2 linked regions of the Astyanax mexicanus genome follow. The protein of the gene in region 1 purifies or fractionates together with the protein of each later gene. This does not show direct contact. Links are inferred from orthologs where the notes say so. Each region holds a gene or a part of one and is shown in the gene's direction. Other genes may lie near its edges.

Region 1 (7,133 bases):
TGTCACATGAGTTTTGGTAACAGGACTGAGAACAATGTAACCATCTTCAGATTAGGAACCTTGTAAAAAAAATAATTAAAGCTGCCTGTGTTTGATCAGTCTATGTTTTGAATAGTTAAATATATGTGTTATTAGAATCAGAGTCCAAAAAAAAAACACTATTTGAAAGAGTTACAACAAGCAAATGGCACCCATTTGGTGGAATGGCCCTTAAGGTTCTTCGGTGTCCCAGGAGGTTAATTAGTTGATAAGTTGATATGTCACAGATGTGTTTTTTTTTGTATAGTTGTTGCTCAGTGAGTGTTATAGTTTTACTAATGTGTTCATTGGTGGTTGCTAGGGTGTTTGCATACTGTCTTTCAGGTGGTGGTATGGTATTTAGATTATGCTAAGTGAATGGTATGATGTGGCTAAAATGTTTCTTGGGGGCTGCTATAAGGTTGATATGGTTCATCACAGGGTTTTAATGGTGTCCCAGATGGTTACTATGGTGGTTACGATGATATTTAAGCTATTGCTTAGAGGATGCTGTGACATTGGTAAGGTGCATAAAACTATATGCAGTAGGAAGAGCTTTCATTTATAAAGCACTTTAACTTTGGATCAACTAATATACAGGATTCAGACATACTCTCAGTCTTTAAATTTAGACTTAAAACATTTCTCTTTTGGATAATTTCTCATCATAATGGTTCTCTATTTTTTTTCCCCCATTTTCTCCCCAATTCACATGGCCAATAACCCAACCCACGCATTAGGATTCCTCCTATTACAAGTGATGCCAAAACACCAGGAGGTTAAAGACTAACACAAGCCTCTACCGACACATGTGAATTCTTTTTGAACTGCTGCTGATGCAGCATTGCCAAATAGCATCACAGCACGAAAGCACAGCGACTTGGTTCTGATACATCAGCTCACAGACGCCTCATGCTGCAGACATCACCCTTTGAAGTAATATGGGGAGAGAGCGCCATCTACCCACCCAGAGATAGCAAGGCCAATTGTTCTCTCTCGGGGCTCCGGTAGCTGATGTCAAGCTACATGAACAGGATTCAAACCAGCAATCTCCTGATCATAGTGACAGCACTTAGCCCGCTGGAGCACTCGTAGCATAATGGTTCTCTATAGCCTGCAGCCATACTATTACTGTCCTGTAATTTCTCTGATTACAAGAAGTAAGTCATTACTGTTGTCGTCCCTCTCACTATTCCTCTTACAGCTCACACTCCAAACATAAACCTCCTAATGTCCTGAGCTGCTGCCTCGAGGTGTCCATCCATAGTCAACCCAATCCCTTTTTCTTTCCTCCCCCTCTTTTCTCTCTCTCTCTCTGTCTCTTACATGTGTAGAGATGTCCGGCGATCTGCCTGGATGTGTCCATTTGTGGTTTAATTTTGTGACTTTTGTGGTGTTTGGTATGTTGCTTGTGTTGTTAAGTGAGTGTTACCTGTAAGGGTGGGTGCTATAGTACTTTAGATGATTGGAAAGGTGTTGCTAAGTGGGTGCTATTGTATTTCTCGGTGGCTTGCTATGGTACTCATTACCAGTCATTATGGTGCTGGTTGCTATGGTGGTCATAGAGGTGTTAAAGCCCCTGATTTTTGCTGACTTCACCCTCACCTCAAAAGGCTAAAAAAATGGGAGGGCTAATTTTGGATGGGCATTGAGTGATGTATGGGTTTAGAGGCAGAGCAGGAGGAAGAGCTGATTGGCTGAGCTGCAGCAGCAGCAGTGTGCCTCTGATAGTGGTGAGGACCCATAAGGATAGACATAAGGATGATTGTGATGTTTTTGCATACCAAAGTAGAGGGAAACATTATCCTCACCTATAGCACAATTGAACCTGAGAGGACACTGCAGAGGTGAAAATGACCACCATAAAAAGCGTTTTTTAAAGGTTAGGAAATGTTCATAAAAATTATGTTATATTACTTAAAGGGACACATTTTAGCTATTTATGGAAAAAATATGGTTTAGAAAAGTGGCTTTAGTGGGTCTTTAATGGTTTTTGTCTATTTTTTTTCCCCCATTTTCTCCCCAATTCACATGGCCAATAACCCAACCCACGCATTAGGATTCCTCCTATTACAAGTGATGCCAAAACACCAGGAGGTTAAAGACTAACACAAGCCTCTACCGACACATGTAAATTCTTTTTGAACTGCTGCTGATGCAGCATTGCCAAATAGCATCACAGCACGAAAGCACAGCGACTTGGTTCTGATACATCAGCTCACAGACGCCTCATGCTGCAGACATCACCCTTTGAAGTAATATGGGGAGAGAGCGCCATCTACCCACCCAGAGATAGCAAGGCCAATTGTTCTCTCTCGGGGCTCCGGTAGCTGATGTCAAGCTACATGAACAGGATTCAAACCAGCAATCTCCTGATCATAGTGACAGCACTTAGCCCGCTGGAGCACTCGTAGCATAATGGTTCTCTATAGCCTGCAGCCATACTATTACTGTCCTGTAATTTCTCTGATTACAAGAAGTAAGTCATTACTGTTGTCGTCCCTCTCACTATTCCTCTTACAGCTCACACTCCAAACATAAACCTCCTAATGTCCTGAGCTGCTGCCTCGAGGTGTCCATCCATAGTCAACCCAATCCCTTTTTCTTTCCTCCCCCTCTTTTCTCTCTCTCTCTCTCTCTCTGTCTCTTACATGTGTAGAGATGTCCGGCGATCTGCCTGGATGTGTCCATTTGTGGTTTAATTTTGTGACTTTTGTGGTGTTTGGTATGTTGCTTGTGTTGTTAAGTGAGTGTTACCTGTAAGGGTGGGTGCTATAGTACTTTAGATGATTGGAAAGGTGTTGCTAAGTGGGTGCTATTGTGTTTCTCGGTGGCTTGCTATGGTACTCATTACCAGTCATTATGGTGCTGGTTGCTATGGTGGTCATAGAGGTGTTAAAGCCCCTGATTTTTGCTGACTTCACCCTCACCTCAAAAGGCTAAAAAAATGGGAGGGCTAATTTTGGATGGGCATTGAGTGATGTATGGGTTTAGAGGCAGAGCAGGAGGAAGAGCTGATTGGCTGAGCTGCAGCAGCAGCAGTGTGCCTCTGATAGCGGTGAGGACCCATAAGGATAGACATAAGGATGATTGTGATGTTTTTGCATACCAAAGTAGAGGGAAACATTATCCTCACCTATAGCACAATTGAACCTGAGAGGACACTGCAGAGGTGAAAATGACCACCATAAAAAGCGTTTTTTAAAGGTTAGGAAATGTTCATAAAAATTATGTTATATTACTTAAAGGGACACATTTTAGCTATTTATGGAAAAAATATGGTTTAGAAAAGTGGCTTTAGTGGGTCTTTAATGGTTTTTGTACAAGTTTATTCTAAGGAGACTATTTTCTTGCTTTTCAATGGTAATTTTTATTTTGCCACAACAATTTAAAGCAGGAGTGACATCCCTGATAGCACACATGTTTCCAAGCCTCCTAAATCCATTTAAATTGATCATACATTGGTCCTATTATAAAATATACATTTTCCATTAGCACAATAGAAGACTCATGCTTACTTGCCTAAATAACACACAAATGCAACTTTCAAGCCCAAGTTAATACAAAGTGAAAATTATGGGGTTTACTTCCGCTAAGAAAAGATATTCAACTGTAAATAATGTAAATATTTATTCTGTTCAGGACAGTAAATCCTGAAGGCACAGCATGAATCAAGGCTGCTAATTCAAGACCGTGCCTTGGGGTGGGGCTCTTCTGTCACTGCATTAGCTGGGAGCCTTAAAACCAAATGATGATAATCAAATTATCCAGCAGTGCACAATGCACTTGTGGCATGATGTGGCTCACCAGTAGAACGAGATTCAAGTAGTAGAACAAGATTTTCTCACGAGAATTCTTTTGGGTGTGCTAGAAGTGATGCTTATCCAATTCTGTTTCTATTGTTGTGCACTATTTAAGCTTAACACACTGTCACTGATTGGATTCTCACCATAAAGAAGACCATACTGTGGATTTGCGGCAAGCACTTCAATCCAAACCCGGGCAAAAAGCGTCAGTTGTGGCAGGGAAGACAAGCAAGACCTAAACATACACTGTTTTTGGACAGCTTATCATTGGTAAGTTATCTAGAATGTTTTATTTTTTAAGAAGGAAGTCTAGCTTTTTAAGATAGGTATGCCTTATAACTCCTAAACTTACGTTTGTCCAACTGCTGTTGGAAAGTATTATCGTTTAATATTAGACAAATTTAACAAGAGTAAATATAAAAATAACTTTTTAAATAATAATTTCATTTTTTAAGGGACAAAAACTATTTGTGAAAAAGTGTTTGCCCCCCATAGATTAACTATGATTAATCACACTTAACCACAACCAGGCTTGATTACTGCCAGACCTGTAGAATAAAAATCACTTAATTAGAACCTGTCTGACAACATGAAACAGCTAAAATATCTCAAAAAGCAACAGATTATGCTGCAATCAAAATAAATAAACATAAAAGAAAAACATATGAGAAAACAAAGTCACTGACATCTGTCAGTTTAGAAATGATTACAAAGTCCTTTCTAAAGCTTTGAGACTACAACCGACCACAGTGAGAGCTATTACTCACAAATAGAGAAAACATGGAACCACTGGTGAACCCTCCCAGGATTCGGGCCGACCAAAATTATTCCAAAGGAGCATGGACAACTTATCCAGGAGGTCACAAAAAACCCAGAACAACTTTTAAAGAAATGCAGGTCTGACAAAAAATATATCATGATTTTGGAAGAAGATTCTCATACTAAATGTAAAACATGGTGGTGGTAGTAATTCTGCTGTTTACAAGAAAATCCTAAAGTAGAATGTCCAGCCATCTGTTTGTGACCTCAAGCTCAGCTGTACTTGGGTTCTGCGGCAGGACAATGATCCAAAGCACACAAACAAGTCCACCTCTAAAAGGCTTAAAAAACAAAATTAAGATTTTGGAGAAGTCTAGTTAAAGTCTACTTGAGATGCTGTGGATGATCATAAACAGGTGGTTCATGTTGGAAAACCCTCTAATGTGGCTGAATTAAAATAATTCTGTAAAGAATAGTGGAGCCAAAATTCCTCCAGAGAGATGTAAAAGCCCCCCTCCCCCTCCAGTAACCTTCACACACTGGAGTGAACACTGGTTTACATCAGAGCCTTTCACTTCTGCTTTTGAATTTCTCCAAAACAAACTAATACACTAATATAGCTGCAAATAAATGACATAACCTCCTGTACTGAAAAGAGAAGTGTCAGTGTAATCTCTGCTTAAATGCTTGATTGTCTGGCTTGGTCACTTTTAACATGCTTGTTGATCAGCTAAACAATCAAACCCATCACAATACATACCTATTACTGGTCAAAAGCTAAGCTAATCAACTAGTGTAATCTTAGCTTTAGCAGGCCATACTAGTTTTTTAAATGGATATTTAGTGAGTTTATTTTCTTTAAAATTAACTGGGCCTGTCTGTTAGAAATATATACTCCATATATGGGCCATTTTACTCAATTGGTGCGATTTGCTTCTTTTAACTCTTCCAAATTAAACGTAATCTTTTTTCATTTTTACAACTCCGAAACTAATAACATATATTTAACTATTCAAAACATGTACTGGTCAAACTCAGGGAGCTTTATTTATTTGTTTTACAAGGTTTATAATGTGTAGGTTAAACATTTAAAAAGCATGTTTAAATGCAAGTCCACTAATTCCTTGAATTTTCTCTTAAGAAATGGTTGACTGCGTGTTCAACTAATTTATATTTATGCCAAACAAAAAATTACTGTTAATGGCAATTATTCCTGTTACTGGAATTTACTCCTGTTACTGACACTCATTCCTGTTACTTTGTATGTTTTGTGTAACAGGACTGAAAATAACAGGGATGAGTTTTAATACAGAAATAGCAAAAACATTAAAAATAGCTCAATAGCGGCTAATAGCATGAGGACACATTATACATATATATATATATATATATATATATATATATATATATATATATATATATATATATATATATATATATAGAATGTAAAATGTATTGCTGCAAATGTTTAAAATACAATGGCTTTATAACTATGAACTATGTAGTGGAGCTTGACAGTTAGAAATGTTTATATTTCTTTATATTATCAAACTCTTTATACCAAATACTAAGGGGATTAAAAACGCCCAACCCCTGTTGTTATTGTTATATGTAAACAAATACACTTTTTTTAATCACGTGTATATTGGGACTTTTATTTTGAAAAAATCTGCTCCGCGTTATGACGTCCGCTCGTGCTTGCCGCTTAGTTGCATCATTTCCGTATTAGGGCTCCTTCTGCAGCGGCCGGTGAGGAGCAGCGCGTGCGAGTCCTGCAGTCCAAAACACCGCGGTGTGTGTTTACCTTTACCTGTTACCTGTACTCCTTTATAACCCTCATATTACACCTACTAACACCTGCATAACCCCACTTATCACACTGTTCATACCGGAGTGTGTAGAGGATGTGAGTCTCAGTAAGTGAAGTGTGTAGAGAGTGAGTCCCTGTAAGTGAGGTGTGTAGAGAGGGTGAGAGTCTTAGTAAGTGAAGTGTAGAATGTGTGAGTCAGTAAGTGAAGTGTGTAGAGAGTGATTGAGTCTCAGTAATCGAAGTGTGTTGAGAGTGTGTGAGTCTCAGTAAGTGAAGTGTAGAATGTGCGAGTCTCAGTAAGTGAAGTGTGTAGAGAGTATGTGAGTCTCAGGAAGTGAAGTGTGTAGAGAGTATGTGAGTCTCAGGAAGTGAAGTGTGTAGAGAGTGTGTGAGTCTCAGGTAAAGTTTATAAAAAGTATGTGAGTCTCAGTAAGTGAAGTGTGTAGAGAGTATGTGAGTCTCAGTAAGTGAAGTGTGTAGAGAGTGTGTGAGTCTTAGTAAGTGAAGTGTGTGTAAAGTATGTGAGTCTCAGTAGGTGAAGTGTGTAGATAATATGTGATTCTCAGTAAGTAAAGTGTGTAAAAATGTGAGTGTCAGTAAGTGAATGTGTAGAAAGTATGTGAGTCTCAGTAAGTGAAGTGTGTAGAATATGAGAGTCTCAGTAAGTGAAGTGTGTAGAATATGAGAGTCTCAGTAAGTGAAATGTGAAGTTTGTGTAAAGTATGCGAGTCTCAGTAAGT
Region 2 (7,095 bases), on another chromosome or scaffold:
AGGCAGCTGGGCCATCATTTTGAAAACTCAACCAGTGGGCTTTTTTTTATTACATTCCACACTTTCTGAGCTACAAACAGTAAATCCATTGCAATTTTAAAGATGACAGCTTAGGTTTATGATTTATGATCTAACGATTTACGATTCTTGTAAGAACTTCCACAGGAATAAACAGCATTACACATACCATTTAGCCAAATGTATGCAAAGGTTATTGTATTCCAACATTTAACCAAACGCTTGTGGACACAGCTGTATTGGTCAAAATATATGCATTACATCATTCAGTCAAATGTTTTTTTTTTTTTTTTTGTAAAATCATCACTATTTTTCCCCACACTCCAACTGAGAGAACATGCACAGCCTTCTTTTTCAGCGTTCCTCAAAATGAATGTCTGAGCAGCTTTTGGACCAACTAGTTACCTTATTTGGCCAATGTTTTGCACAATGAAAATAAAAAATAAAAACAAATACTGGTGGACAAAACTTTGTTTGTTAGAAAATCTGCATTTTACCATTCAAACTTTGTATACCAGCACTGCCAAAACTTGATGTTTGGAATGGTTTTGGACTTTCAGGCAAATGTTTGTGGACAGACCTCCACCAACCAAACATATCTGAATTTGACTATTTAGCCAAATGTATGCAAAGGTTGTTGTATTTCAACATTAAACGCGTTAAAAGCTTCTGGACTTGCCACATCTCTATTAATATTAACAAATATAGTGCATTCCACAATTTAGCCAAAGGTTTGTGGACATAGCTCTTTTAGCCAAGCATATCTGTAGTCCATAGTATGCAAATGTTCTTGGGCTCCAATCCACCATTTAGCCAAAATCTAATAAACACATTTCTAATGGTATTTTACCATTGAGTCAATTGTTTCTAGACTCAATTTGCCAAAAGCTTGTGGACACATCGCCATTAACAATATGTAATGTATTCCACCATTTAGCTAGCCAAGTGTGTGGACATAGCTCTATTAGCCAAATATATCTGCAGTCCACATATTATACCAATATTCCTGGTCTCCATTTTACAGTTCAGACAAAATCTAAATAACAGTTCTAATGGCATTAAACCATTTAGCCAAATGTTTGAAAAAATTCTTGCGTTCCAACATTTTACCAAAAGCTTCTGGACTTAAACAATTTGTCAAAAAGCTTGAGGCCACATCTTCATTAACCATATTTTATGCATTCCACCATTTAGCTAGCCAAAGGTTTGTGGACATAGCTCTTTTAGCCAAGCTATCTGTAGTCCACATATTATGCAAATGTTTTTGGGCTCCAATCCACCATTTAGCCAAAATCTTATAAACACATTTCTAATGGTATTTTACCATTTAGCCAAATGTTTCTAGACTCAATTTGCCAAAAGCTTGTGGACACATCGCCATTAACAATATGTAATGTATTCCACCATTTAGCTAGCCAAAGGTTTGTGGACATAGCTCTATAAGCCAAATATTTCTGAAGGCCAAATATTTTGCAAATGTAACATTGAGCCAATATATTTTGGATACCAACATTTAGCCAAAAGCTTAACAAGCTAGTTACAACAGTTACCACCGTAATGCTAATTTACCATTAAGCCAAATGTTTCTGGACGTCAGTATTGAGTAAAAGAAAAGCTTGTGGACAGAGCTCTGTCTCTCACCATTTAACCAAATTATTCTGAACAATGGCTTTTGACAACATCTCCAATAACCACCAACAGTATTGTGTATTCTTCCATTTACCTAGCCAAAAGTTTGTGGACATAGTTCTTTTAGCCAAATATACCTGCAGGCAGCATATTTTTCAAATGTTCTTGTGCTTTATTTGACCAATTAGCCAATTTTTCTTGGACACCAACATTAGGCTATTTACCACAGTTCTAATGCTATTTAACCATTTAACGAAACGTTTCTGAACTAGAACAATTTGCCAAAAGCTTTTGGACACATCTTCAATAACCAAAAATATTGTGTATCCCTCCATTTAGCTAGCCAAAAGTTTGTGCATGTAACTGAGTTTTATTAGCCAAATATATTTGCAACGCACATATTACATAAATATTCCTGGGCTCCATTCCACAATTCAGCCAAAATCTGAATAACACCGTTCTAGTGGCATTCTACCATTTAGGCAAATGTTTCTGGGCTCCAGCATTTAGGAAAAAAAAGATTCGCCCAAATTATTTAATTTCACAAACTAACTAAAGGACCTGCTCATTTGGCCCTCTCTTGGCCTAGCCAGAGTGGGACCCCTCGCGCTGCTGCCTGGATATCAACAGTACAGTCTATGGGCTAGCTTAGCTTAGCTTAGCTGGGTAAGCTAGCTTCAGGCTACTGAAAAGTGCAGAAAGTGACACACTGTGGGCCATGAAAACAGTTATTCAGGGTTTTTACAATCTCGCTTTAAAAGCGAATGTCAGTACAGACTAATAAATAAGCGCTAAAACATACAAGTGTGTGTGTTAGCTAACTAACATAGCCCGCTTCAGGCTAGCTAACTAACTATCAAGCTAACGAGCGAAAGCGCTAGCAAGTGGAAGCTAGGCTAGGCTATGCTAAAAATGTCATTCCCAGTGCTCACTTACATCGGCTCGAGGAGTTTAGCCAGCCATGACTTCAGAGCGTCCACATTATCTATAATCATCGTGCCGAGCACCGAACAACACTGACTAGACGTGGGTTTTTTGTCAGCGCTATTCCTACTTTCATCCTCTACAGAAATAACGTTAATTCAACATGGGCCTCCTCTTAATCACTCGACCGTCTGACGAACTGCACTAGCTCCGTTCAAACCAATAGACTCATTGGTTCAAACACACTGGAAACAGCGAGGTCCGACTCACAAACCAACGAATCAGCTTTACTGATCCGATTCTTTTCAAGACGATTCATAGTTTTACTTTGACAAAGCTATTTTCTAGCATTTTCAAGCAACTGAATCTGTCACAATAAGTAGAATACGTTTTAACATCTTACCGTATTTTATATAGACATAAAAAAGTATTTTCTGACCTTAATGTTGCACATTATTTACGTTGTATTACATTAATATATTTTATTTAAATTGTCTAAATATTCTTAATGGTTAAACTGTCATTATTTGAAAAAAAAATGTGCAAATGCATTATTATACTGATTAGGTCAGTGGCATAATATGGTCCTAAAATGACAATAATATTTTAATAAAAAAAATAAATAAAAAAGTGACCACTTGATTTTACAAAAATTGAAAACCTCTGAAATATATAATTAAGAGGAAGATGGATGATCACAAGCCACAAAACCAAGCTGAACTGCTTGATTTTTTGCACCAGGAGTGGCATAAAGTTATCCAAAAGCAGTGTGTAAGACTGGTGGAGGAGAACACGCCAAGATGCATGAAAACATAAAAAAACAGGGTTATTCTGACAAATATTGATTTCTGAACGCTTAAAACTTTTTAATATGATATTTATTTATTTATTTTTTGCATTATTTAAGGTCTGAAAGCTCTACATCTTTTTTGTTATTTCAGCCATTTCTCATTTTCTACAAATAAATGCTCTAAATGACAATATTTTTAGTTGGAATTTGGGAGAAATGTTGTCCGTAGTTTATAGAATAAAACTACAATGTTCATTGTACTCAAACGTATACATATAAATAGCAAAATCAGAAAGACTGATTCAGAAACTTAAGTGGTCACTTTTTTCCAGAGCTGTATTTCTTGCAAATCATAGACTGTTGCAAATACTTAGATTCGTTAAAGCGGGCGAACGTCGAAAGAATCGATTCAGTGATTCAAACTTTCCGTCACTAATTGGAAACCACTGTTGAAACCATAAACATGCTGCAAGGCTGCGCTTAAACAGTTAATGTTTACAAACTGACACCTTTAATAAACAGCTTTAAATCACGTTTATTATGACCCCATATTATCACAGTTTACAGTTAGGGGCTCCAGTGTGTCGTTTCTGCGCTGGTGGACGTAGGTTAACCTACTGCTGTGCGTAACTTCTTCACGTGGCCATGAGTAGAACTACACTTCCCAGAATGCTCAGTGCTCAGCGGTCTCTTGCTGAAGGTGTCATCAGCTCTGTGCAGGAGCCGGCGGCGGCGTGGGTCTCCAGTCTGATTGTGCAGTGAAAAGTTGTTCCTACATTAAAGAGCAGGATGACGGTAGGTCTGGCGTTTTCTGTACACACATGAAAAACTGTAAATACACTCTGTACCTTCTGCTACAGTGAAAGCTGAACCTCGAAGTCATCCTAATCAACTCTCATGCTAAGAGTAACCCTAAAGCTAGCTGTTAACCTAGCTAGCTAAATAGCTTCTGTGCTAACTTTGTATCAGTGTTTCATTTCTGATCAACTCTATTTATTGCTGTTCTGAATGTTATGTTACAAGTGTTTAAATGTTTCTTAGCTAAGTTAGGTCAGTTGTCTTTTAACTGTGTTTTATTATTTGTGAAAGAAGCCTGTTTATTGCTTTCAGCTAAAGAGAGAAGCTACAGCTGTCACTCACAGAGCAGTGACCGGTGTTCTGTCGAATTGTGCTACCTTGTCAAACCGTGCTTCCATAGTGTATATTTAACTGGAAAAGCACAAAAGAAACACTATATTACAGCATCTTTCCAGTATAAGTCATACTATATGTAGCTAGCTAGCTAGCTAGTATATTTGGATAGCATAAATTACTGTATCATTGTGAAGTTATGGCAAAGAGAGGTTATTACAATTTTGTAATATTTTGTAACAGATTCATTAACTTTAATAAAAAAACACGATAAATAATTTTAAAGTGTAGTTCAGCGCATGCGCAGTGCACGCATCGATGGGTAGAATAACTCTACACAACACCCCGGTGGCCGGTTGCATAAAACATCTAGCTTAGTGTTTTCCTTTAAGATTGCCCTGAACATTCCCTTAAAGATGGGCGTCTTTTTAAGGAAAAAGTACCTTAATTGTTATGTAAGGGCTTTCTTAAGGAAAATCCTTAAATGTTCGCTTAATGACAATAGTATGATAATAATATGACTAATCTAATTTCTAAGACAATAAAATGTAATCTTAATATTAAGTTTGTTATAAATATTTTTCACAATTTACTAACACATTAATTTAACCTCTACCCATTTTTTATTGTATTATATTTGTACACATAATAGTTTGTTCATCTTAATTTTTTTCTATTTTTTTTCATTTGAAATCTGCTAGGCTTGAGACTTGCTGAAATAAGCCTTGCTGTATTTCAGATTCTTTTTCGTAGATATAAATATTAGAGCTGTCAATGAATAAAAAAAATTCTGATTAATCACAACATAGATCTGTGAATCACACTTTTTCTTTTTATGACTAAGTATTTAATAGTGGGTATTTAAATGTCACAAACACATTTTTATAATTTATATTGGCGGAATCAGTTGTCTCTTTTGGGCTTCTTCATCTACATTTTGTGTTTATTGATCACTCCAGGAAAGAAAAGGAACAGCAAAGCTCGACTTCTTGAGGAAGATTGAGCAGGATATCCAGCAGAAATGGGAGAAGGAAAAGGCCTTTGAGTGTGATGCGCTGACCACAGCTGAGGAGATTAAGAAGTGAGTTTGGTTTGCTTGTTTTATTGAGAAAATATAGTCTAAAATATGATCAATAATCTTTTTTTTGTTCTTTGTTTTACAGTAAAAACAAGTACTTTGTTACCTTCCCTTACCCCTACATGAATGGGAGGCTGCATCTGGGCCACACGTTCTGCCTTTCCAAGTGTGAGGTAAGTCTGCTGGCCAGTTATACTATAGAACAAAAGTTTGATGATGAATCTTTTAATGTAAATGTGTGCAAATGTATGTTATCCTTAATGGCTGACGTTTAATACAATGTGATTTCTGTAGTTTTCGATGGGGTACCAGCGTTTGAAAGGAAAGCGATGCTTGTTCCCATTCGGACTGCACTGCACAGGAATGCCCATCAAAGTAAGTGGGGGCCATCCGTCTTTAAAGTGTTTTTAAAAAATAAATGTGTGTGTGTGTGTGTGTGTATATGTATGTTCACTCAGTCTTGTGAAAATTGTTGTGCACCCCTTGTCAGATTACATGTGATGTTGATTTTCTAAGTGCAAATAGTGTCTTATACAGAACATACTTTCTGAGGTAAAAGTTTCGGTTTCGTTTAGGCCAGTCAAAATAACTAATTTTTGCAGACAATATATGGTCCTTGAATCTATTACAATACATTATGTTATCGATATCATTCATGTTATGATAACATTATGGCATAATAATACCATTACATCTAGGGGTGTGTCATATTTTTGAATGTCGTGAACGATATTATACCCTGAAATATCCTATCAAATCACTCACCCCTAATTATCACATCAGCAGGGTTCCCACGGGTCCTTAAAAAAAATCTTAAAATGTATTAAATTAAAATCTTAATAATTAAGGTCTTAAATTGTCTTAAGTTACTGTAAATTTGCTTTAGGTATACATTTTTAGATGGTGCATTTAATGCCAGTGGGAAAGCACATACTAACATTACCGGTGAGTTACTGGAGAGAGAAATAAGGTTAGCTGAGAGCTAGCTAATGTTACTGGAGAGGAAAGCTAGCGTAAAGCTAGCTAACATTAGCGTAGATCTAGCTAACATTAACCTTAACGGGGAGAGAACTAAGGTTAGCAGAGTTAACATTAGCGACGAGCTAGATAACATACTAACGTTAGCGGGGAGTTAGCTTTGTTACTGGGGAGAAAACTAGGGTTAGCGGAGAGCTAGCTAACATCAGGGGTGAGTTAGCAAACATGCTAACATGTTCTACAGCACAATCAAACAAAATTGAAAAAGAAAATTTATAACAAATGGCAAATGTTACGTTTTAATTTTCAATATAAGAATTTATTTTCTACTTAAGAAGTTATGACTACATTTTTGGGCATTAAATTATATTTATTGGGGTCTTAAAAAGATCTTAAAACGCATTAAATTTGACTTTAAAACTGGAGAAAGAACCCTGATCAGGGAACTACCTTTTTTGCTGTTTTTAGCAAAACAAAAATGCACACTGTTCTCATTTCCCATTATATATCTACTAGAGACAGGTTATATCTGTCCAGTATAATTTAT

Evidence for each region. Proteins that work in one complex are often made in the same cells at the same time.
Region 2: the proteins of iars1 (region 1) and lars1b purify together in Homo sapiens (affinity purification with mass spectrometry; 7 studies listed by BioGRID and IntAct, counting the BioPlex papers as one, with this or other methods). This does not show direct contact. The link is inferred for Astyanax mexicanus from reciprocal best matches to the Homo sapiens genes IARS1 and LARS1.

What each region holds. Positions count from the first base shown.
Region 1 is NC_064431.1:13,417,350-13,424,482, forward strand, and holds the start of iars1 (isoleucine--tRNA ligase, cytoplasmic), read left to right. Parts: upstream 1-4,075; 5' UTR 4,076-4,094; intron 4,095-6,296; exon of another isoform or gene 6,297-6,375; intron 6,376-7,133. UniProt on the Homo sapiens protein: Catalyzes the specific attachment of an amino acid to its cognate tRNA in a 2 step reaction: the amino acid (AA) is first activated by ATP to form AA-AMP and then transferred to the acceptor end of the tRNA.
Region 2 is NC_064424.1:21,486,666-21,493,760, reverse strand, and holds the start of lars1b (leucine--tRNA ligase, cytoplasmic), read left to right. Parts: upstream 1-4,040; 5' UTR 4,041-4,150; coding exon 4,151-4,156; intron 4,157-5,451; coding exon 5,452-5,573; intron 5,574-5,655; coding exon 5,656-5,743; intron 5,744-5,864; coding exon 5,865-5,945; intron 5,946-7,095. Other genes in the region: rbm27 (RNA-binding protein 27), read right to left, coding at 2,584-2,642. UniProt on the Homo sapiens protein: Aminoacyl-tRNA synthetase that catalyzes the specific attachment of leucine to its cognate tRNA (tRNA(Leu)).